Notamacropus eugenii: one gene and its partner. The protein of the gene in region 2 purifies or fractionates together with the protein of the main gene of each other region. This does not show direct contact. Links are inferred from orthologs where the notes say so. Each region holds a gene or a part of one and is shown on either strand. Other genes may lie near its edges.

Evidence for each region.
Region 1: the proteins of TADA2A (region 2) and ZZZ3 purify together in Homo sapiens (affinity purification with mass spectrometry; 4 studies listed by BioGRID and IntAct, with this or other methods). This does not show direct contact. The link is inferred for Notamacropus eugenii from reciprocal best matches to the Homo sapiens genes TADA2A and ZZZ3.

What each region holds. Positions count from the first base shown.
Region 1 is NC_092873.1:538,893,920-538,905,803, reverse strand, and holds the start of ZZZ3 (ZZ-type zinc finger-containing protein 3), read left to right. Parts: upstream 1-6,296; 5' UTR 6,297-6,440; intron 6,441-6,737; exon of another isoform or gene 6,738-7,079; intron 7,080-11,884.
Region 2 is NC_092873.1:376,157,345-376,169,353, reverse strand, and holds the start of TADA2A (transcriptional adapter 2-alpha), read right to left. Parts: upstream 5,922-12,009; 5' UTR 5,717-5,921; coding exon 5,714-5,716; intron 2,847-5,713; coding exon 2,732-2,846; intron 1-2,731. UniProt on the Homo sapiens protein: Component of the ATAC complex, a complex with histone acetyltransferase activity on histones H3 and H4. Required for the function of some acidic activation domains, which activate transcription from a distant site. Binds double-stranded DNA.

The DNA of each region.
Region 1 (11,884 bases), about 160 Mb from region 2:
TCCAAATTGCTCTCCAGAATGGTTGGATCAGCTCACAGCTCCACCAACAATGAATTAGTGTTCCAACTCTCCTACATCTTCTCCAACATTTATCATCATCCTGTTTTGTCATGTTAGCTAATCTGATAGGTGTGATGTGGTATCTCAGAGTTGTTTTGATTTGCTTCTCTCTAATTAATAGCAATTTAGAGTATTTTTTTCATATGACTATAGATAGCTTTAATTTCTTCCTCTGAAAACTGCCTGTTCATATCCTTTGACCATTTATCAATTGGGGTGGGCCATCTCTTATTATCTCTTCTTGCAGGGTTTTGTTGGTGATCTATAGAAATGTTGACAATTTATGTGAGTTTATTTTATATCCTGCTACTTTGCAAAAATTATTGTTTCAACTAGCTTTTTAGTTGAATCTCTATGACAGGGATGGGGAACCTGCAGCCTCAAGGCCACATATGGCCCTCTAAGTCCTCAAGTGTGGCCCTTTGACTGAATCCACACTTCACAGAACAAATCCCCCTTGATAAAAAGATTTGTTCTGCAAAACTTGGAGTCAGTGAAAAGGTCATACCCAAAGACTCAGAGGGCCACATGTGGCCTTGAGGCCACAGGTTCCCCACCCCTACTCTAGGATTTTCCAAGTATATCCTCTTATCTTTTGCCAAAAGAGATAGTTTTATTACTTCATTGCCCATTTGGAGTCCTTCAATTTATTTTTCTTCTCATCATTATTGCTAGAATTTTGATACAATATTGAGTAATATTGGTGATAATGGGCATCTTTATTTTACCCCTGATCCTACTGGGAAGGCTTCTAGCTTATTTCTGTTACAAATAATGCTTGCTGATGATGTCAGATAGATGCTTCTTCTCATTTTATGGAAAAACCCATTTAAATCTATAGACTTTCAAGTGTTTTTAATAGGTACGAGTGTTGGAGTTTGTCAAAAGCTTTTTTTCTGCGTCTACTGATATAATCACATGATCTTTGTTACTTTTGTTATTGCTATAATCCATTATGTTAATAGTTTTCCTTAGATTAAATCATTCCTGCATTCTTGTTATCAATTCCACTAGGTCATATTGTGTAATCTTTGGGACATACTGTATTTTCCTAGCTCAGGGAGGGGGAACCTGCCTTGAGGTCATAACTAGTGTTTTATTTAGGATTTTTGCTTCCATATTTACTAGTGAAATTGGCCTTCCATTTTCTTTCTCGATTTTTGTTCTTGGTATCGCTGCCATATTTATTTCCTAAAGGGAGTTTGGGAGGACTCCTTTACTAATTTTTTCAAATAAAATATTGGAGTTAGTTGATCTCTAAATGCTTGGTAGAATTTCCTCATAAATATATCTAGTCTTGATGTTTTTTTCTTAGGAAGCTCATTTATGTCCTATTCAGGTTCTTTTTCTAAAAGTTTTATTTAATATACTATTTTCTCTTCTGTTCATCTGGGCAGTTCATATTTCTTGCAAGTATTCTTCCATTTCATTTAAATTCATAAAATCCACTTAATTCACAATTAAAATCACTTAAATTCACAATAAATTTATTGTCATATAATTGGGCAAAAAACTCCTAATAATTGTTTTGATTGTATCTTCATTTGTGGTATATTCACTCCTTCCATTTTTGATACTAGTGATTTGATTTTCTTTACTTTTAAAAATCATATTAACCAATGATTTATCTATTTTATTGTTTTTTCCCCCATCAAACCAACTCCTAGCTTTGTTTGTTAATTCAATGATCTTCTTATATTCAGTTCCTTACATCTCATCTTTAATTTTTAGAATTTCCAGTTTGGTATTTAATCGGGGATTTTAAATTTCTTCTTTTTCTTGATTTTAAAAGTGTATACCCAATTCATTGTTCTCTTCTCTCTATTTTACTGATGCAAACATTTAGAGATATACATTTTCTACTGATTACAGCTTTTGTGGCATCCCACAGATATTGGTACATTGTCTCATTATTATCATTCTCTTTAATAACATTATTATTTCTATGACTTGTTCTTTAACCTACTCACTCTTTGAGATTAGGTAATTTAGTCTCCATCTTCCCAGAATCCTCTCCCTGGACTCCATTTCTGTGTTTTGTCCTCTCTATAGTCTCTACTAGGCTTCTCTCCCCCTCTGAAAAATAAATTTCTTCACTGAATATATATCCCAATATAATGCTACTCAGGGTCTCAGGTATTTGTACTCAGGTTTGTATATCACTAGTAATTTGCTAGTAGCATTATTATCAAATATTTGAAGCATTTAATATTATTAATGCCTTTATCAGATGGAACATAACATTTTCATTCTCTTATTGAACAACTCAAAAGAGCTGAATCAGCATATCTGATCACAAAGAGAACTTTGTCATAAGTTTAAAAATTATCAAAGGAGCCTACTTGACAAAATAAATCATGTTTGCCCCACTTTTTATAGATGAAATAATAGCATTTGTGTAGTACTTTACATTTTGCAAATACATTTACATATGTTATCTGTAGGTATCGTAGGTATCTCTATTTCATAGAACAGAAAGCTGAGACTTGAAATAAGATGCTAATGATCACAGAGTTATTAAATGTTGCAAGGGTAGCAGTCCAGGGCTCCCTTAGGCTGTGAGTTTTTAAACTGTAGCAATTGATTGGCACAAATCTATTTGTGTAGTAAGGAGTTGGAGGAAATAGTTACAGTTTGTGGTTGAAAATCAAATACAATGTATAAAGGAGCAAAAAGTATGAAATTACTTCTATGTAACAATCAACACAAGCTTTGCTACTTCTGTTAACAAAGAGGATGCATCGGGACACAGTTTATCCTTGTCTTATCAGAGATAGGATGATAGGGTTACAAGTTTCATTAAGTGTGTCTGCTGCAAAGCTGAAGGAGACAACCACAGGGGGCCTGAGCTCCAAGACTCCTGCTTCTGTCTCACTTTGGGTTAACACCTTGGCCTTTGAGAGGCCTTCATCTAGTGCCATTAGTAAATCAACTTGAACATCTTCTGGAAACAAAAGGGGAAATTTATTAAGTGCCTACTATGTGCCAGGCACCGTGCTAAGTGCTTCACAACAACTTGGAGAGGTAGGTGCTGTCATGGTCTCCATTTTTTAGCTGTTCAGTTGTTTCAGTCACGACCCCTTTTGGGGCTTTCTTGCCAGAGATCCTGGAGTAGTTTGCCATTTCCCTCTCCAGCTCATTTTACAGATGAGGAAACTGAGGCAAACAGGGTGAAGTGATTTACCAGGAGTCACCCAGCTCGAACACCAGCTCCAGTGCTCTGTGCCTGTGGGCCTGCCTAGGTAGGGGCCTCATAAGGAATTGGCCTTTTGTGACTCCACGTCCAGGTTCTGTGCACTGCTGTGTCCCCTTCCTGACTCCAGGTTCTGTGTTGTGTGCACCATGGCGCCCCCTTGAGGCCTCAAATTAGTCTTTCCTGACTCCGGGTCCTGGATGCCCAAGTCCCTGTAACGGAGGTACCAGTGTACAAAACTATCCTTTGTCTGTGAATGGGACCATATCAGTTCCATCTCTGTTCTTCTCTCATATTTTATTTTATCTTATTTTTGCATGACAGTCACTCCCAGCAACCCTCCCCTCTGCCCAGTGAGACTGCGAGTAACAGTTGGTTCAATACCTGTGACCCAGCATCTCTCTAGTTAAAGGACAGAAGAGTTTTCCACCCATAGTTTTCTGGAGTCAATATTAGACACTGCAGATAATCTGAATCCTGCCCATGTTGCTTTCATTCATGTTCCTGCAGTCATTGGGTTCTGCTTTATTGATTCTGACTCATTTCATGTAATTCTTCCCATGGCTCTTTCTCCAGATTCCTCATATCCCCAATTTTGCTCATTTCTTGCAGCATCATCCATTTATTGGAAGTTGTTAGGTCGAGCAGTGGGTGGAGTGCTGAGCCTGGATTCAATAATAATCCTAAAGGGTGCCTTGTAGTGTTTGGCACATAGTAGGCACTATATGTTAGCTATCACCATCATCATTATTAACATTATTATTTTCCCCCAGTCAGCTGGCCCCCTCTTTTCAAGGCCTTGCTGCTATCAAGGAGCAAATACTAGGACTATTTGAGTATGGGTGGATCCTTGATTTCCAGCACCTGCTTCCCTGGGGTATATGGAATGATGGCTCAGACATGAAGAGCTGAATCACTTTTCTCTAGACTGCTTGGACCAGATCCCAACTCCACCTTCAGTGCATTAGTTCACTTGTGGACTCTTCAACATTTGCTATTTCGGGGATTTTTTATCCTTCCCAATTGGATCTGTATATAGTGACCATGTAGGGTTATTGTACTTTGTGGTTTTTTTTTTTTTATTAGTGATTTGTAGTATTGTCCATCTCTTTTGATCCCATAGTGATTTAGGAATTCAATTCAAGATTCATTGAACCTGAACTGAGAACAGGTTCATGATAGGGCCTGGGGCTATGGAGACAAGGAACAATACTTATCTTCAAGAAGCTTACCTTCGGCTGGAGAAAACTCTGTAAATGCCACCCCCACCTCCCGACATACACTGGAAATACAAATGGCTTCTTTTTTGGAGGCGGGGGGAGGGAGCATCAACACTTAGACAAAAATCATTAAACTTCTCACATAAGGAGCAGCATTAGGGGAAAGGGGGGTGGTGCCCCAGAGAATGAAGGTGAGAACTGAGAGCATTCCAGACCCCATGGCAAGTTGGCCTATCAGATCATAAACAATTAGGAAGCACCTCCTATGTGTCAAGCACTGTGCTTTTTACATTCCAATGCAATTCTTAATAAAATTTCCCCACCAGACCACTAGTAAAATTCTAGCGTCAGTGATTTTACTGGTGGCAAAATCTTTTTAATTTTCTGCACCTCAAATTCACAATTTTTTTTTTTACTTTTTTGCTGGCTTTTCTCCTGTTTGGGTAAGAATTCTTCCCTACCCTCTGGTCTAAAAGGGAACACTGAATCCTTTCCATGTTCCCAGTTCTGCTGAATAGACAACTGTTCCCATGGACATTCAGTAACCCTCTCAACTAAGCAAAATATGAGAAAACATTTCAACTTGGCAGTAATTTTTTTTAGTAGTATTAAAGACACCTACCCACATCTCCACTTACTCACATGCCTGAAAAAAAACAAACTTCCAAACATCCAATACAAATCCCAGCGACACAGTGCTCGGCTACTTTGGGAAGGCTCCATTTCTGGAATCCTTGATTGGCTTTGGGGAGGGTGTGTTTGAATTTGTTCCTAGCGTAAGGCGCTGATCTTCGGTTTTAGGGAACGAGTTCTCAAGCTGGGGGATATTAATTCGTTTTTTAAAAAATTCTGTTAACTGTTCCTTACTGTCAATGATTTCCTTTATAATCCAAAGTATTTTATTTTATGCATTTAAACAACATTCTGAAGAGAGGACCAGGGGCTTCACCAACCAGCCTGTCGGGGAGAGGGGGGGCGGGATGTGAGCCCTGCTCTGGGTCCTGGGCATAGAGGCTGGGCCCACTCGTAGTACCTGCTGTCAAAGCAATACTGCGGAGTCCGGCCCCCAGTAAAGTAGACCCATTTGTGCGGTGTTTGGGCCAACTTGCTGGTCTGCAAAGCTCAGTTCGGAGGTTCTTCTGGGTTCTAAAGGCAGCGGTGCGGGTGCCGGGCTCGCGGGGCCGGAGCTGTCCACCGAGGCAGAGGCTGCTCCAGCTCTCCAGGTGATTACAAAGTAGCTGACAGGGAGGAAATGAGCGAGCCTGGGAAGTTACTTTGTATCTATTTCCCAGGCTGTTTCCCAGGTGACAGCGGCCAAGCTCTTCTCGGGGATCTTAAGCGATCGGAGGGGGAGCTGTTTTCATCCTGGGCAGGCATTTGAAAGGTGTTCTGGACCCAGTGCTACGAGGTGCTCTCTAAATGCCCTGCGGTAGAACGTAAGCTGCCCGAGGGGGGGTGAGGGCTCTTTTCTTTGGCATCCCCAATGCCAAAGTCACTTAATTTAAGGATAGGACTGAGTCTCTACCTGTGATTTTCATGGTCTTGGCAACAGCGCCGGGAACACAGCGGGCGCCTACTAAGATCTAGCCGACTGGACCCGCAGCGACAGCTGCTTCCCGTTATTATCATGATTATAAATTATTATGACCGCCATTATTAATCAGGTGAGGCTGGCGGGGAGGGCCGGGATTCGAACCCGCGGAGCCAGGAGGGGGGAAGGGAAAAGAGAAGAGGGGGGAGGAGGAGGAGAAGGGAGGGGCCGGAAGAAGGCGAGGGGGCGGCCGCGGGAAGTGGCAGAAGCGGGAGGCGGGCCCACTTGGAAGCGCCGCCGGGCGGGCGGGCGGGCTGGCGCACAGGGGCCGCGGGGAGGCGGCCGGCCGAGCTTCCGGGGGCGGCGGGGGTGGCCTCCCTCTCGGCCACGGGCCGCCCGCCGGCCGCTCTCTCCGGTCGGCTCGGCGGCGCCCGAGGTGAGCCCCGGGGCCGCTGGGGGCACGTGGCGGGCGGGGGAGTGCGAGGAAGGGAGGGGGAGGGGCTGCGGGACTCGGATTCTGCGGCGCGTTGGATCCCGGGAGGGGAGGGCGGAGGAGAGTGAAGAGGGGAGGGGGCCACGGCTGTGAGTGGCGATGCCCCCACGTGGGGCGGGGTGCGCGCGCACAAGCTTGCGCCGCCGCCGCCGCGCTCGGGGGCGGGGCGCCGGGCGCGCTCTCGGAGCTGGCTGGGCTGCGGCCCACGTGACACGCACGCGGGTCGCTGACGCTCACGTGACCGGTCTGGAGCCCGGTCGGTTTGACGTGAAACTTGGGGGTTGAAGTTCTCCTAAGCCTCCGCGCGGCCGAGTCGCGCGCATCCTGCCCCACTTCCCTCCCCAGACCCCGGCCGCGCGGCCCAGCCCCCGTCGCTGCCTCCCCCGTGGCGAGCAGTTCCCGTTCCGAAGACGTGCTCAGGAGGCCATGTTGGCCCCGACCCGGCCTCGCGAGACTCCCCGGGACTAGGCGGCCTCGCGAGACTGCGCGGCTCTCGCGGGAGGGGGCCGGCCGAAAGTGGGGCCCGGGACGGCGGCGCTGTTGGGGCTCCCGGGTCGGGGGAGCCTAGACTGCTCGGAGCAGGCAAGTGGCCGGGGTGCGGGTGGGGCCCTGGGCACGGCGACACCTCCCCGAGGGACTCCCCGCCCCCGCGGCGCCCTTTACCTGCGAGGGGGGGTAGCTCCTCCCACGTGCCCAGGAGCGCCAGTGGGCGCGGGTCCGAGGGGCTGCCTGCCTTTAGGTGGCGCCTGCTGGGTGCTGAGGTTGCCGGGGGCCGCGCGTGTCATGCCCTCGGAGTGTTGTCACCGCGTCCGGATGGAGAAACGGAGGCAGGCGGTCCGTCAGGGTCTGGGCCGGGAGCGCGTTTGGGTGCCCGTCGCCTGGGCGCGCTGGCAGGGCTGGCACGTGTTGGAGAAGGAACTTTTTCAAATTGGGGAACGCCCCGTGTTTGGGGTCCGCGCCCAGACCAATGGGACCTTGCCTTCTTTCATCCAGAAATGTAAGGTGAGGCCGCAGCTCCTCCTCATCCCTAGCCCTGCCCCCTGCCAACTGGCCCGGATCTGGTCTAGGGTGGGCACCCAGCTAACCAGGGAGACCCGATCCTGAGCCATAGATCCACCTCAGGAGTCTCTCGATCACTTTCAATTTGGCAACTCCTAATCATTTCTAAAGTGAAGAGCCGTTTCAAATGGTCTAATCCAATGTGGCTATTTGGGAATTTTAGGAAGTCTCAAGCTAGCCTGGCCTCCCCTCCCTTCTTCTTTCCTTTGTCTTTACATGTGTCTGAAGAATACAGTTCTTTTGTGGCTTGAAGCTTGCCCTTTCGGAGGAGAGCATGAATCTGTCTAGAAGCTTTTGAGTTCATCAGGTTCTTTAAAGTTGTTGGAAAAGTTGTAAAGTGTTGGCTGTATGTGTGTTCACCTGTGTAGGGACGTAGAACTATAGTTCTTAGCCATCATCGTGTCGTGAGTGCTCTTTTGGGAGGTTCCTCCCGAGTGGATATGCTTTTCTGAGACTTTGTATCCCAGACTGACATCTGAGGAAAGATAAGAGGTGTGGGAAACGTTGTAGAAACATTGGCCCCCGGTTACAGAGTAACTTAGGGATGGCGGCAGAGAGTAGAAGAGTCTGGTGGGAATTTGGAGGTGTGATTTCTGAAGCTGACTCGGCTTACCAGAAGAGATCCAGCTTCAGAAACCAAAATTAGAATATGCATGAGGTGATTTTTCTCCTTTTTTCCTAATGTTATAGAGATTTGTTTGCAAAAACTCCCCAACACTTCTGCAAAAAGTGACTAACTTGAGAGTTGTCCAAGTTTCGTGTAGGTTGTGTCCTGAAGCTGAACTTTTTTTTTTTTTAGAGACAATGCTAAATGTGAAACTTAGTTATAGATTAGCTTCTGGGAATGCCATTCAACCTTAATAGGCTTCCTCTGGTCTAGATGGACATGTATTTCACACCCTGTCAGAACTCTTTCAAGAAACATGCTCCTTTCCTTCAGAAGCTTTGCTTAGACATAATGCTGTTGGCTCAGGAGGAAGAATTTAGCCTGCTAAAGGTCACTGACTTCTTTTAGCAGAGTTATTTAAAAAAGATTATTTTTTTAAGTGTACTGTTGGAAGGGAAGGAGGAGCAGTGTGGTTTGTCTGGATTGAATTTCCATTGCTGTTTCCTATTGAAAGGACGCTTGGTGACTTGAAAAGATCGCTTGCTAGGCTGGACATTTATCTTACTGAGTTCTCCTGGGTCATTTTTCCAGAAGTTTTAAACCTCTTGGACTGGAAGACAAAGAACTGTATAAAAGTGGATAATCTGTATGGACTCTGTCCTGTTTTCTCCCCAGACTGAAAGCTGTGGTCATCGTTTTCCCTGATCTTCTACTTATGTCACTGCTACCAGCCAGTAGGTGAGGATCCTGCACTCTTCTCTAGGGCTTGCAGAGGTAGAGGGGGTTATGGTATCTTAGGGTTTAGAGGTAGAAGGAACCTCTGAGATGACTCCATTTATTCCAACCATGCATTTTTTGTTTGCAGAAACTGAGGCCTGGTGACTTATCCAAGGTCATAAAGTAACCGAGCCAGATTCTAGCCAGCTTTCTTGACTCCAGTGCTGTTTTTGTTATGGAAAGAATGAAGATTTTCTCTCCTCTTGTGAGCTTGAAGGAATTGGTCTCTTCTTACCTCTAAAGTTTGGAGGTGGCTGCTTGTAGGTGGTTCATTGCCACTCTCAGGGTCTCTGGATGTCACCTCTGTAGGAGGAGTGGAGGGAGACTAGCAGGGCTGGTTCAGTGCAGGTGTGAGACTCGAATTTAATCTGGTCGCCTTCCTTGCCAGGAAGTTAACCACTTGTGAAAATGTTTTCCAAAGAAGTTGAAAAAAGTGGGACTCAGCAGAATTAAAATGAATGTATTACTTCCTCAGCCTTAGAGTCAGGCAGCTGACTTAGAGAGGGTTTAACTCCCAGTGTCACAAGTATTACAGAAGTGATGGGTAGCTGGAAACCCAAGGACCTGTGCTGTGGTTCTCTTGTAAAAGATGCTCACTTGTCTTGAGTTTGATTTCCTATTGTAAGTGCTTACATATTCAGAGGTATTTTGTACTTTTTAAAGAGAATTTTAAAAAATTCTAACCACTTTTTTCTTGAAGTCAAATGAACCAGCTTTTATTAAGTACCTACTATGTGCCAGGCACTGAACTTAAGTGCTTCAGACACAAAGAAAGACAAAATAAGTCCGTTCTCAAGGAGTTCACAGTCTCATGGGTAAGAACGTACAAACAGCCACATACAAACAAGACAGACACACATGATCAATTGGAGATCATCTCAGAGGGAAGGCACAGAGATTAAGGAGGGCTGGCAGTGGTTTCTTGGAGAAGGCAGAGACTCAGGAAGCCAGGACAGGTTGCTGGGAGAGGGAACTCCAGTTCTGGGTCCCTCACCCTGAGGTCTTAGAAACCTCAGTGACTCTCAGAGCCCAGCCTGAGCGTGCTCTTCCACCCTTGAAATGACCTTTTACATATTTTGTATGAAAATGGCTGATGGACCTCTCCCTTGGCATTGGGCATGTCGTGCTGGAGTTGTTCTCTTGTTGGAGGAGCAGCCAGGAGGCAAGTGGCAGAGTATGTGGAAGGGGCAAGGCAGAGGCTTTTGTCTTTGATCTTGGAGGTGATGGGAGCCACTGGAGTTTATTGAGTGAGGGGGGAGGGTGACAGGGTCAGGCCTGTGCTTCATGGAAAACGGACTGGATCGGGGAGAGACTTTTTGACTTTTTGCCTGCTTGAGGCAGCTCTGTGGCCCTGTGACCTGGAGTCAAGGACACTTGAGCTTAAATCTGGCCTCTGACCTGGGCCTTAGTTTCCTCATCTGTAAAATGAGGATAATAAAAAATCACCTGCCTCCCAGGATTGATGTAAGGATTAAATGAGAGCTGTATAAAGCATGTAGCACAGTGTCTGTATATAAGAGGTCCTTTCCCCTTCCCTACTGAAGAAAGTCCAGAGGTGAGGTGATGTCGTTGTCAAAGGAGAGGTGGAATTCACACGGTTTGACCACTGGTGGCTGTGGGAGATGAATAAAGCATTTTCTAAATGCTTTGTGCAAAGAATTGTGCTAAGAATATAAATAGAAAAGTCAGGTCCTGCTTTCCAGGAGTGAGAATTCACATGTGGGAGCTACCACATAGGGAAGGTTTTAGCTGCAAATCAGGTTGGTTCTTAGAGTGCAGTGGCAAAGTGGGCATTGGTGCTGTATCTTTAATGCCATCTCTGGTGTTGGTCAGGGTCAGGGACTTTCTTTTCTGGGTCTGTATATCTGTGGCTATTGCACTTGTGGGAGCAGTTTGCTGGGCTGAGTCTCCACAGGGGTGGCATTCTTCAGATGACGGCTGTGGGTACTGGGCTGGAAGCCTTGCTCTTCTACAGGCTTCAGGGTCTTAGGAGGGATGATGGCCAGGATGATTGAGAGTGATTAGGGTACCTTCCTGCTTCATCTAAGCTGGTTTGCCTGCCCTGTGGGTAGCAGTTGAGAATGGTGACTGTCAGGGGTTGCCACTTCCAGGGTGCTGGGTAAATAGTGATGGTGAAGGAAGTGGGGTGATAGTGGTACTCTCCACAGTGATAGAGAAGTTAGGAAAGGGGGGAGATCTTACAGGGAAGGGGACTGAGCTCATTTTGGAAATGCTGAGTTTGAGGTATCTGAGATGTTTGGGTAAAGATAACTAACAGACTTTTGGAGGTCAGGAGGGAGGTTCAGGCCCATGGAATTATCAGAAGAGAGAAGAAAATTCAATCCAGGGGAACTGTTGATCGCTGAAGCAAAGAAGGTCCAGGTCAGAGCTGTGGGGGACACGCAGGACTAGTTTTTGAGTGTGACTCCATGATGGAGTGTGCAGAGCAGCAGAAGCACCAGAGAGAGCATTGTCAGGAAAACCAGAGGGAAGAGGAGACGGGGGATGAGGAATGCCGATGCAAGAGATGCTCTTGTCCTTCCTCATTAAATGGAGTATCTGAACCAGGGTGGGTGCAAGTCTGCACATTGCTGGGGGGGGGGCTGGGTTGAGAGGCTTGCATTGTAGCATCCCTTGAGGTGTTTGAAGAGGGGATTTGCTGGGAAGTCCAGAAGGGGAAGTGTGCACGGGTCAGGGCCAGCATTTACCTTCATGAGGGGGCTTCTCCCCTTCACCAGTGAGTAGTCATGTATTCTTGGCAGCCTCTATTTCCTCTAGTAGAGTGGAGGCTCCTTGAGCACAGAGACTTTTTTTATTTTTTGTTTTTAACTTCGGAGCTATGTACTTTTTTTTTTGAGTAGACATATGAATTTATAAAAGCATCATTAGTCAGGGACACACTGTGGCCTTACAGTGTCGTACAACAGTTGATGTGGAAATAACT
Region 2 (12,009 bases):
CATGTGCTCAGGAGATGGTCTGTATTGTTCAGACATGGCCAATGTGCTGATTTGTCACTTAATGATAAGACAATATTCAGTTCAGGGGGGAGGGTATCAGAGGAGGAGGAAGGCACTGGAAAATGAAAGCAATGTAAAGAAAATTATGAATTAAAAAAAAGGAATGAAACCTGTTCTTCTTTCAATGACATTCTAAAACACTAGTGACGTGACTGAAATCCAAGACATCTGGGGCTCTAAAAATTCAGAAGAACAGAGCTGTGGTCCCCTAAACTAAAATTTTACAGATGAGAAAACTGAGGCTCTGGGAGGTAATGCAACTTGATCAAAATTACACAGGTGGTGAATGGCAGTCAGGAACTGAACCCAAGACCTGGGGCTTTTTCCATGAATTTTCAATGTCGAAGTCATTTAAGAAAGTAGAATAACCCTCAGAAGGAGACAGACAGAATTGGAAAGAGGCTGAAAGGGGATATCCTTGAAAAAACATTGTCAGGGGAATAAAAATGATCATCCATAAAGCCTCTTCCCAACCCCTTACCCAATGAATCCCCCAAACCCAATAACAGAATTTTATGCTTCAAATGCCATAAATACTTTGTTATGAAACTGAGGGAGCATAGGGAATAGGGAAATAGAAATCTTCTGAATGTAAGGGGCTGCCTGAATTCATCCCCAAAAAAGATAATTTCTTACAGATTTCTTTCCTTTACCCAACAAGTATTTGTTGCTAATAATGCTTGATTTCTTAACTAAACCCACTCCAATGACCCACTGTGGAACAAATATAACCCTAGGTTCTTAAAGGCTAAACTAGCAGAGTTGCATCTCTGAAAAGGTCTTCCAAGACAGAAGTACTAGACCGTATAGCTGTGATGTGAGGACCAATCTAGTGAAATTCAAAGAGTCTACTTGCTAAAGGGCTGACCAGTAGCTGATAAGTTGTTTTTAACCACAGAAACTCATCAAACTATATTTCAAGACATGGAAGAATTGGGATCTACACCAGTGGAAGATGAACCCATACTGATAAAAGCAAATCCTTAAAATAATGATTTATATTGTTGTCTGTTGTTATTAGGATTATATTCTATAAAAAATAAATTCCACCTAAAAAGGGCATTTTCTTATGCCTTCAGTTGGCATGTTACAATCACTAGTGATGAGCACATCTCTCAAGCTGTGTCTTGAGAGAATCTGTTATTAAAATTTTATTGCTCTCTTTTTTAAATATTGCCTTAATTTCAAAACATATTCCTCTTCCCTCCTCCTCACAACAAGCCACTCCTTCAAAAGACAAAGAGACAACAAAAAAGAAAAAAATCAGTTCAGTAAAAATAACCAATACACAAACCAAGTACTAAATGACAGCATATAAAATGCTCCATACTCTAACTCAGCAACAAAGGAAAGGAGGCATATTTTCACACCTCTTCTTTGAGGAAAAAAGTATGAGCCTCATAATTATACAGAGCTCATTTTCTTTGCTGTTGATGTTTCCATTTATATTGCTGCAGTCCCCGAGTATATACTGTTTTTCTGATTTTGCAAACTTCACTCTGTATCAAGTCCTACAAATCTTCCCATCCTTCTCTACATTCTTCATAATCATCAAAGAAATCCCATTGCTTTTTAAAAATCAAGACTTACAGGAAATAATGCAAAGTGCAATGAGCAGAACCAGGAGAACACTGCACACAGTAAAAGGAATACTGTATGATGATCGACTGAATGCCTTAGCTCTTCTCAGAAATGCAACGATCTAAGACAATTTCAAAGAACTCATGATGAAAAATCCCATCCACATCTAGAGAAAAGACTGATGGAGTCTGAATACAGATCAAAGCATTTTATTTTTCATTTTCTTCATTTTTTTGTGGGGTTTTTTTGGTCTTCTTTTATAACATGATTAATATGGAAATATGTTTTGCATGATTGCACATATATAACCTATATCAAATTGCTTACTATCTCAGGAAGGGGGAGGAAAGGAAAGTAGGGAGAGAATTTCGAAGTCAAAATATTTAAAAGATGAATGTTAAAAACTGTCTTTACATTTAATTAGGGGAAAATAAAAATATAGATATATTTTTAAATCAAGGTTTAGAAAGATTTTTTTTAAAAAAACACACCTAAGAACTAGAAACAGGAACAAAAAGAAATGAATACTGCATAATTCTAATGACCAAGGTTGGCTATAGAGAAGACTTGAGAAAGTGCACCTTTGTCCCTTCATTTCCAAGGTGGGGTACTATGGATATGGAATGGTGCATGTACTGTCTGTATTGAAACATTAGTTGGTTTTACTGATTCATGGTTTTTTCCATTCTTTTAAAATATTTGTTACAAGGATTGATTAATTGGATGGAGGTGGGGGAAGAATAGTTTCAGAAATAAATGTGATGTAAAAACAAAAGACACCAATAAAAATAAGAAAATTGCTATAAGAAAGAAAAAAGGGGAAAAAAAAAATCAAGCTCTTGGATGACCATCCTAGCTTCATACTCTGGCACTTTTCTGTATCATTTTCTACTAATTCCAGAATAAGGGTGTCTTATCACTGCCTTACTGGGCAATAAACAGAAACCTGTATGATTTTAATCTAGTTTGATGCATTTCAAGCAGTTTCAGAATCACAAAAGGCCTTTACAAGTAGAGTCACAAGGTTTCCACCCCTGCCATCATCTGTGTGACCTACATGCCACCGAGAGTCCCCTGAGGTCATACTTACTACTGAAGGAGCCCAATCTGTCCATTCCCACACTGAGAGAGGTTACAGCTTTGATTGTCTTCCTCAAAGCCTGATCCCAGCACTGTCCAGCAAATCCCCAGGAATGTGTGGATCCCTAGAAATAGACAAAGTCAATGAAGGATACACAGGTGAGGGAAAGAATGGCAAGGATGACAAAGTGCTGGAGGGAAATGGAATGAGCACAGGACTTAAAGAACCAGAAGACCTAGGCTCCAGTTCCAGTTCTGCCAATGAATATTAGCAAGTCACTGTATTTATTTTACGTGTACTTATATCTGGTCACATTGTCTCCCTGATAGAATACAAATCCTTTAGTATAAGAACTATATGATTTTTGGTTTTGTATTCTGAGCACCTAGTACCTGACATAGAGCAGGTGCTTAATAAATGTTGTTTAGTCATTTCTGACTCTTTGTGACCCCTTTTGAGGTTTTCTTGGCACAGATACTGGAAATGGTTTGCCATTTCCTTTTCTAGCTCATTTTATAGATGAGGAACCTGAAGCAAACAGGATTAAGTAACTTGCCTAGGGTCACACAGGTATCTGAGGCCAGATTTAAACCCATGAGGATAGTCTTCCTGATTCCAAGGCCAATGTTTTATCTACTGCATTGCCTAACTGCCCTAATAAATGTTAGTTGATTTGATTGACATCTCTCTCAGCCTCAGTTTCAGCACCTATCAATGGGAGTAATAATTGTTTTCACTAGACTCACTGGGTTGTTCTGAGAAAAACTCATTCTGTAAAATGCTAGGTAAGTGTGAGCTGTTATCACCTTGGTTCTTTGAAGGTGAAAATGGAAGCAAAAGCCAGACATTACCTTCCACTGACAGTGGACTGGCTTTTAGACTCCAAGAATCATTTGGTTGACCCTGATGTTTTCTCAGTGGAAGGGAATTATTCACCAGTAAATACAGACAACACCCATATAATTCCACCGAAAAAGAACTAATTGGGGAGCAATCCATCAGAGAAAAGGAGAAGAGAGATGCAAACTTCTCTCCAGAATCGAACAACATGGGTCCCAGTCTGCTCTTTCATATTTTGATCACATTGTACTCCTTCATACACCCTCTATTCCAGCCAGACTAGCTTATATCCTCTTTATAGGACTAGCCATGTACTAATCATCTCCCACCTCTGAGTCTTTACCTAGGCTGTAACCCTTTCTCTTGGAATGTATTTATTTCCTACCTCCCACACTTAGATCTTGTGCTTCCTTCAAGATTCAGCTCAGGGTACCCGTCTACATGAAACCTTTCCTCATTCTCCTTATTTCATTGGTCACTGCTCCTTGTCCCACCCCCAATTAAGAGTATTTACTTATCTGTGTAAATGTCTACAATAGAATGTAATATCCTTGAGGGCAAAAATTTTTGTTTGTTTGTTTTTTAGCCTTATATCTTCACCTCCTAACATAGGAAGCATGTAATACATGCATCTGTGGCACAGGCATGTAATTACGTATATTGATTGAACTGATTTAATCGATTTCCAGGAGGGGTGGGTCTTCAAAAGTAAATATGTGCACAAACTGATTGACTGATTATCAACCAACCCAACAACTAAATGGAGAACTATCTGGTTTGGATTCTGCTCCTTCTATATCCAGAGTTCTTAACCTGGAGTCTGGAGCTTTATTTTTTAATTGATAAATTGTATTCCAATATCATTGGTTTCCTTTGTAATCCTATGTAACTTATTTTGTGCATTTAAAAACATGATTCTGAGAAGACTTCACCAAATTCTGCAAAAGGATTCCAGAACACAAGAAAGGTAAAGGACCTCAGATCAAGGGATGAGCAGAGTAAGATGTGTTAACTACTGCAGCAGAGAAATCAGAGAGGCAGCAGCTCTCCATCACCCCAGGTGGCCAGATATCAGAGGGACTCTTACTCATGAAGGACCAGAGACATGACGTAACAACTCCACAGGAGAGCACAGGATTCAGCTGGAAGGGACTTTAGAGGGCATCCTCTAACTCCAACTCCTCAAGCCACAAATCACAAGATCAAGCCCCTCCAAAAGTGGGAAAGGTCATAGACAGTGAGCAGAACTGAGATTCAAACCCTAGTCCTCTAATATCAAATTCAGTGCTCTTTCCACCATTGTCAGTGGGAGTCAAATTAAAAGTGAGAGGTCCACTAAACAGTACATGATAACATCTATATTTTACTGTACTTTTGTTAACTATCTGGTTCGGGCAATTCAGGAGTCTAGCAGGCAGCATGTTTGACACCTCTGCCCTACTTGAGGCCATGAAAAGGCAGGAAAATGGTCAGGTTCAAGGAAACATTTAATCAAATTCAACCGGATTCCTGAGAAGTGTGACTAGAGCACCAGACTTGGAATTCCAGAAATGAGTTCATATCCTACCCAAGACACATGCTAGCTGGGTGACCATGGACAATTCACTTACCATTCCCAAGCCTCAGTTTCCTCATGTGCACCACATACCCAGAAGGGCTATATTGTTGTACAATATACGTAAAACTGAAAAGTACTTCACAAACCTTAAAATCCACATTTCTTTTGGTTGCATCACACTTTCCATGACCTTGCTTGGGGTTTTCTTGGCAAAGATAGTGAAGTGGTTTACCATTTCCTTCTCCTGCTCATTTTACAGATGAGGAAACTGAGGCAGACAGTGGTTAAGTGACTCGCCTAGGGTCACACAACTCCTAAGTGTCTGAGGCTGGATTTGAACTCGGGAAGATCTGGTTCCTGGTGCCTGAAATCTACCCCCTCTAATAAAGGGTTAGTAATTGCTACTGTAGCAGCCAGGTAGCACAGCAGCCAGAGCGCCAACCTGCCTCCAACATGTCCTAGCTATGAGACCCTGGACAAGTCACTTAACCTGTTTGCCTCAGTTTCCTCATCACCTCCCGGCGTTGCTGTATCCAATGAGAAATCACTGGTAAAACATTTTTACAAACCATAACGCATCGTACAGTTATTACCATAAACTTAAAAGACCACAGAATTGGAGCAGTACAGGTGTTTTTCCCTCGCTCTGCTACGGGGTCCAGGCAGAATGGCCGCCCCCACTCCGCAGATGGAAAAGCTGAGGCCGCGGGGGGGAGCCGCAGGGGCAAGGCTGCAGAGGGGAGGGGCTGCCGGCGGAGGTCAGCGGGGTCACGTGCGCCGTTCCCCCAGGCCTCACGCGCTAGCTCGCGCCCATCTGCCCCGCCCCCCTCCGCTTCACTCCCGCCGGCGCGGCGGCAGCGTGACCACGCGTGCCTCCCCGATCACTCCTCTACGTCGGCCTTGACGCCAGCCTCGGCCCGGGCCCCCGCGCGCCGGCTCGCCTGGGAACGCCAGCTCCCTCCCCTCCTGCCCCCGCCTCCGGGCCCCCGCGCCCCACCCCCTGCCCCTCGGCCCCGCGGCCGGCCACCTCACCTCGCCGCTTCCCCCTCCTCCAGGGCCAGGAAGTCCAGAGCCGTTCGCGCGCACGCAGGCGTGTGCAGGCGAGGAATGCGCGCGCGCCTATGGCCCCTCCCCGCGCTGCTCCGCCGAGCATGCGCACTTCCGCGGCCTTGGGCGCGCTGCTGGAGTGACTACCCGGTGTGCAGGTGCTTTTAATGAGGCTCACCCTACAGATCGGGCAGAAATCGCTTGCCACGTGCAGCCCCTACGCATTTACTAAGCACCTCCTGTGAGTCGGGCAAGCGCTGTGCCAGGCTCTAAGGCTATGATGACAGGATATTCCACCTCCACACTCCGGGCTATTATTCACGTCTTGTCTCTCGTGCCAGGTGTGCTCTTTCTTGTCTCCGTCTTGTGGCTTCCCTGACTTTCTTAAAGTCTCAGCCAAAGTCCTGCCATCCGCCAGGGCCCTTCCCCGCCCTCTCTAATCTTACGTTAAGACTTTCTGTGGAATCTTCTAAATCCATCTTCATCGCCCTTCCCTTGGCTATTTCCGGTTCGTCTGGTCCTCCTCGCTTGCGGGTGGTCTCTCCCCTTGGGGTGAAGCCGCCCCTTGAGCGGCGGGACTGTCTCTTTGTGTTGCCGGTGCTTGGGGCAGCGCCCTGCGCTCAGGAGGCCCTTAACGCGTGGGTTACTTTGGTTTGGAGCAGCCCCGTTCCGAAAGGAGGTTACGTTATCCTGGGCTCAGGGCAGTACAAAATGTATTCACGCAATTTCCAGAGGAAGAGAGACGCTGGGGAGACCAAGGAAAGTCCAATCCAGAGGTCTAAACTAGAAGTCCTTGAGGGGAGCTCCAGGTGTGCTTGGATTCCGTTGGTTAAGCGCCTCGTGGGTGCTAGGAGCTGTGCTAAGCGCTTCCGTCCTGCTGGCTGACAGCTTTGTGACCTTGGGCGCACCTGGGCGGGCTCCTAGGTCCCTTCCAAAGCGCACTTTCTGTAGTCCTGGGTCATTTATTTACCCTCTCCGGACCTCGGTGGTTTCGTCTCTAAACCAAGGATAATAAATATATCATCTTTCCCATTGGAAATAGTTGGTCCTTAAAATGATCAACAATTGGGGGTTACCAGTGTTCTGATTACTAATAGAAGCCTTAAAAGGGTTGGGATGTGGGAGAAAGTAATTGCCCTCCTTGGAATCCCTAAAGATAGGGCTCTCCCAATTTTAATTAGTTATTTATAGTTCAGAGAATTTAGAGCTGGAAAGGCATCACCTGACTCAAGGAAATCATTTTATAAATAAGGGAATTGAAGCTGAAAGAGGAGAACGTCCCAGGTCACAGATGTCAGATACAGGATTAGAACCCAAGTCTTCTTGACTAAAATTTAGGATTCTTGACGCTATGGCATTCAGACTAGCTCTTTATGTCACTAATTTATTCACTCCCTTAAAAAATTTTTTTTTTCTATTGTACATACATACTGAGTCAAGTTTATGGCTCTCCGTGTATAGTAGTTCTTCCTTAATTAGATGTTTACTAAGAGCTGATCCATTCTTTTTTAACAATATTCTCCTCTCACAAGCAAAAGACTCATTAGTGGAGGGATAAAGAGGAGAGGTGAGAGAAAAACATGAAGTCTACTCTCATCACATTCCACTAAAGGAAAGAATAAAATGCACACTCATTTTGGTAGGAAAACCTATCTCACAATACAGGAAAGTGGGGGACAAGGGGACAAGCAGGGTGGGGGGGATGATAGAAGGGAGGGCATGGGGAGAAGAATGCAATTCGAGGTCGACACTCATGGGGAGGGATAGGATCAAAAGAGAATAGAAGTAATGGGGGACAGGATAGGATGGAGGGAAATATAGTTAGTCCTATACAACACAACTAGTATGGAAATCATTTGCAAAACTACACAGATTTGGCCTATATTGAATTGCTTGCCTTCCAAAGGGAAGGGGTGGAGAGGGAGGGAGGTAAAGAAGTTGGAACTCAAAGTGTTAGGATCAACTGTAATGTTCTTACCACTAGGAAATAAGAAATACAGGTAAAGGGGTAAAGAAAGCTATCTGGCCCTACAGGACAAAAGAGAAGATGGAGACAAGGGCAGAGAGGGATGATAGAAGAAAGAGTAGATTGGTCACAGGGGCAATTAGAATGCTTGGGTTTGGGGGGGGAGGGGACAAAAGGGGAGAAAATTTGTAACCCAAAATTTTGTGAAAATGAATGTTAAAAATTAAATAAATTAATTAATTAAAAAATATATATATTCTCCTCTCAGTGCCATATGGCAGTCAATTCTGGAACACAGAAATCACAGAAAAAATCAAACTGATAGACCCCTCAAAGGAAAATGAAGAAAGATGTAGCCGACCTGATGATTAAGATGGCTTATGTTAATTACCAAAGATGACTTGTATACAGGAAGTAGCATAAAAAACATCATGGAGGAAGTCAGAAAAGGATATCAGTCTTGTAGAGCAATCTGTCAAGAAACATTCATCAAGTGCTTTTACCTGTTCAAGTACTATACTAACTGGGGCAGCTAGGTGGTGCAGTGGATAGAGCACCAGTGCAGGAGTCAGGAGGACCTGAGTTCAAATGTCACCTCAGACATTTGACACTCACTGGCTGTGAAATAGCAGGAAATTCTGGGAAATAGTGTCTGTAATGTGTTTAGCTATTCAAGGAAGAATTAGTTGTTGGGGAGGGAAGGAAAGGGACAGCAGTTGTTGTGCAGTGTTACCATTAGAAAGTCTAGCAGTCCATATGCTTTACCTAAAGCAGTACAGGAGAAGAATAGGAAAATACGAATAAATGTAAAGTACTGGTCATTGAACAAGAAAATTAAAGTGGACCAGTATGCCATGCCAAGAGAAAGGAAGGAAAAGAAGCATAGTAGCACACCTACTGTGGGCCAGGCAGTTTGCTAAGAGCTTTATAAATATCTCATTTGATCATCACAACCACCCTTGGAGATAAGTGCTGCTGTTATCCCCATTGCACAGTTGAGGAAACTGAGGCAAGCAAAGATTAAGTGACTTGCTCAGGATCACACAACTAGTCACTAAGGTCAGATTTGAACTTGGGTCTCCCTGACTCTAGGTCCAGCATTCTGACCATTGTGCCACCTTCTCCTTTGGATTGTTTGCTAGGCAGTCAGTGCTTGGACTTACAGAGTAGTTACCTGTAAGGCCAAGCAGTAGAATCTTTTGCTGTTTTTGTTTTGCTAAAAGTGCTTCTGATTGAAAAATGTGATTAAAGAATATCTTCCTCACACATTGATAGGTCTGCCCATTGAGGGAAACTTAAGCTGATTTGTAGGAGGGTCCCAAGTACCTTTTGTTTTTTCTGTTGAGGCACTGGGTCAGAGGGTCATGCCCTCTGGTTCTGAGAAGTGTATAACTGCTCCGAGGGTGAGCTTTTACTTTGGGGCTTACCTACTGGAAGTGTTTGTTTGGCCAGAGGAGGACTCTCGGAAGCCACTAAGAAGCCCCCTGGCTTGGAAAACCCAGATGTTGGTGCTTCCTTCTCTGGTAACTATGGTTTTCTTTGGCAATGAAGGACGAACACACACATAACTATGGTCAGACAGTTGGACCTGTTTGTAGAATAGTAATGTGTGTATTGATTATGGACAGACAGAGGAAGCCATGTCTGTTATCTTTGATTTCTCTGTATTTTCTCTGAAGTTCAGGGTGCTGACTTTTCCCCTGAACTAACTGAATGATACATGTGCTTGATTAAAGTGATTTTTAACCCCTCAAAAGTTGCCTTTCCTTTTATAAATGCTGATCTAAGAACCTGTGATAGCAGGTCCCCCTGTGTATGTTGGGGTGCTTACTATTACAGTACCATCAGTTCCCTGGGGCAGATGAAGACAAAGAGAAGGCAGCATTTATCCTCTCAGCTAGATTTTAAACAATTTGAGAATATCCTCATTCCCCCTCTCCTTCTTATTTGCCCCTACTCCAGGCATCTCTGGGATTATGTGCTACTTCACAATGGCAAATGAAAAAAGACATTGGAGACATAAACTACATGGAAGCATTGCGGGACCTAGGTGATTGCTGTGAGCTCAGTAGGCACTATCAGCCAGGGGAGGCTAACATAGGTGTACCAAAGATAATGAGATACTAATGGTGATGGTGATACTCCTGAAAGGAGGGAAAGCTAGCTATTTGTGTTACTTATTTGTTTTGGGCTGCTCCAGGATGGACGTACACCTTCCATTTGGTAGGTCAGATTTGAACCCAGAGGATGCTAGTGGCATACATGAAACTTGTTTTATTTAGTCAGACAGTTATATAGCACTTTCAGGTAGGAGAAGTCTTTACAGTCATCCTGGGAAATAGGTAGCATGACCTCCCTTTTTTTAGAGTCAGAGGGCAGTGGGTATGGAACATCACATATCTTGTTTTACCTGGTTTAGTTTGGTTGAAGTGGATAAAGAGTCAGGAACATCTGAGATCAAATCCAGCCTCAGACACTTGCTAGCTACGTGTTCCTGAACAGGTTACTTAATTAATATCTCATAGCTTCAGTTTCCTTATCTGTAAAACAGGGATAATAATGGCACCTACTTCCTGGGATTGTTCTGAGGATTAAATGAGATCACATTTGTAAAGCACTTTGTAAAACCTTAAAACTCTACACAAATGTAAATTATTATAACTACAAGTGTAGTTACTCTTCACTGCATAAAGGGAAAGAAGGAAGAATATATTTGGAGATAAAGGTAATGTTAAAAAATCAATTGAAAATAAGAATAATTAGATGGTGCAAGTAGTAATATACACATTTTCCAGCTGAGGAAAATGAGGTTTCAAGAGGTTAATCGACTTGTCCAGGGTCACACAGCTAGAAAGTGTTTGATGTGGAATTCAGATTCAGGATTCTGAATGCCAAATCCATGTTGCTCCCAACTTTTCTGGAAAGTAGTAAGCTCATAAACAAAGGCTTGTTGGGCAGCAGTGAGGACTCAATTGAGGTTAGCCTAGCACAGTTTGTTCTAGAGCCACTCAGAGTGATTTTGTGGTTTTTTTCCTACTAGCATTGTTGACTAGGGAATAAGGATGAAGAAAATAAATGGGGGTAGTTACCCACAGTTGAGGATTAATGGAGCTGGAATGTTGGAAGGACAGGGTCCAGGGGAAGAGGAGGCATGGCATAATGGAAATAACACTAGACTCAGAGTTGAAAGAGCCTTTTTCAAATCTAGACTCTGCCACTTTCTACTTGTAGAACTGTGAAGTAAGTCATTTAACCTATATGAACCTCAGTTACTTTATCTGTAAAATCAAGGGACTGGACTAGATGATAAAAAATTTTTTATTTTAAAATTAAACACATCCAAAAGGATCATTTCTGTTCTAACTGAAAGGTGGAAGGAAACTCTGTGGAAGTGTGAGTCTCCATTTCACACTGCTTATCTTGACTCAATTTCTGAATCAGAACTCTATCGTTAATATCCTATGAATTTGGATCCAGAAATGTAGGACAAAATGATGTTGAAAAGATAGACAAATGGGGAAGACTGGGTAAGAAGTGGAACCCAGCCAGAGGTGACAGAGAAAAGGGAGGAACCAAAAGACCAGAACTCGTAATAAGAATGAAGAGAAGGTTTAGAACATGAAAGGCAGCAGACTGTAATCAGAAAATAAGAATTTCAAAATTTTAGATCTTAGAAAGGGAGTAGTTTTGAGTTGTGATATGGGTTGAGGTATGCTGCTTTAGGGGCTTTAGTGGAGTGAATGGAGTTCATAGTTGTTGAGGAAGTCTCCCAAAGATAAATGATCAAAATATACGAACAAACATTTTTCAAAAGAAGTACTGCAAAGTATTCACAGACACATGAAAAAATGTTCTAAATTGCTAATAATAAGAGAA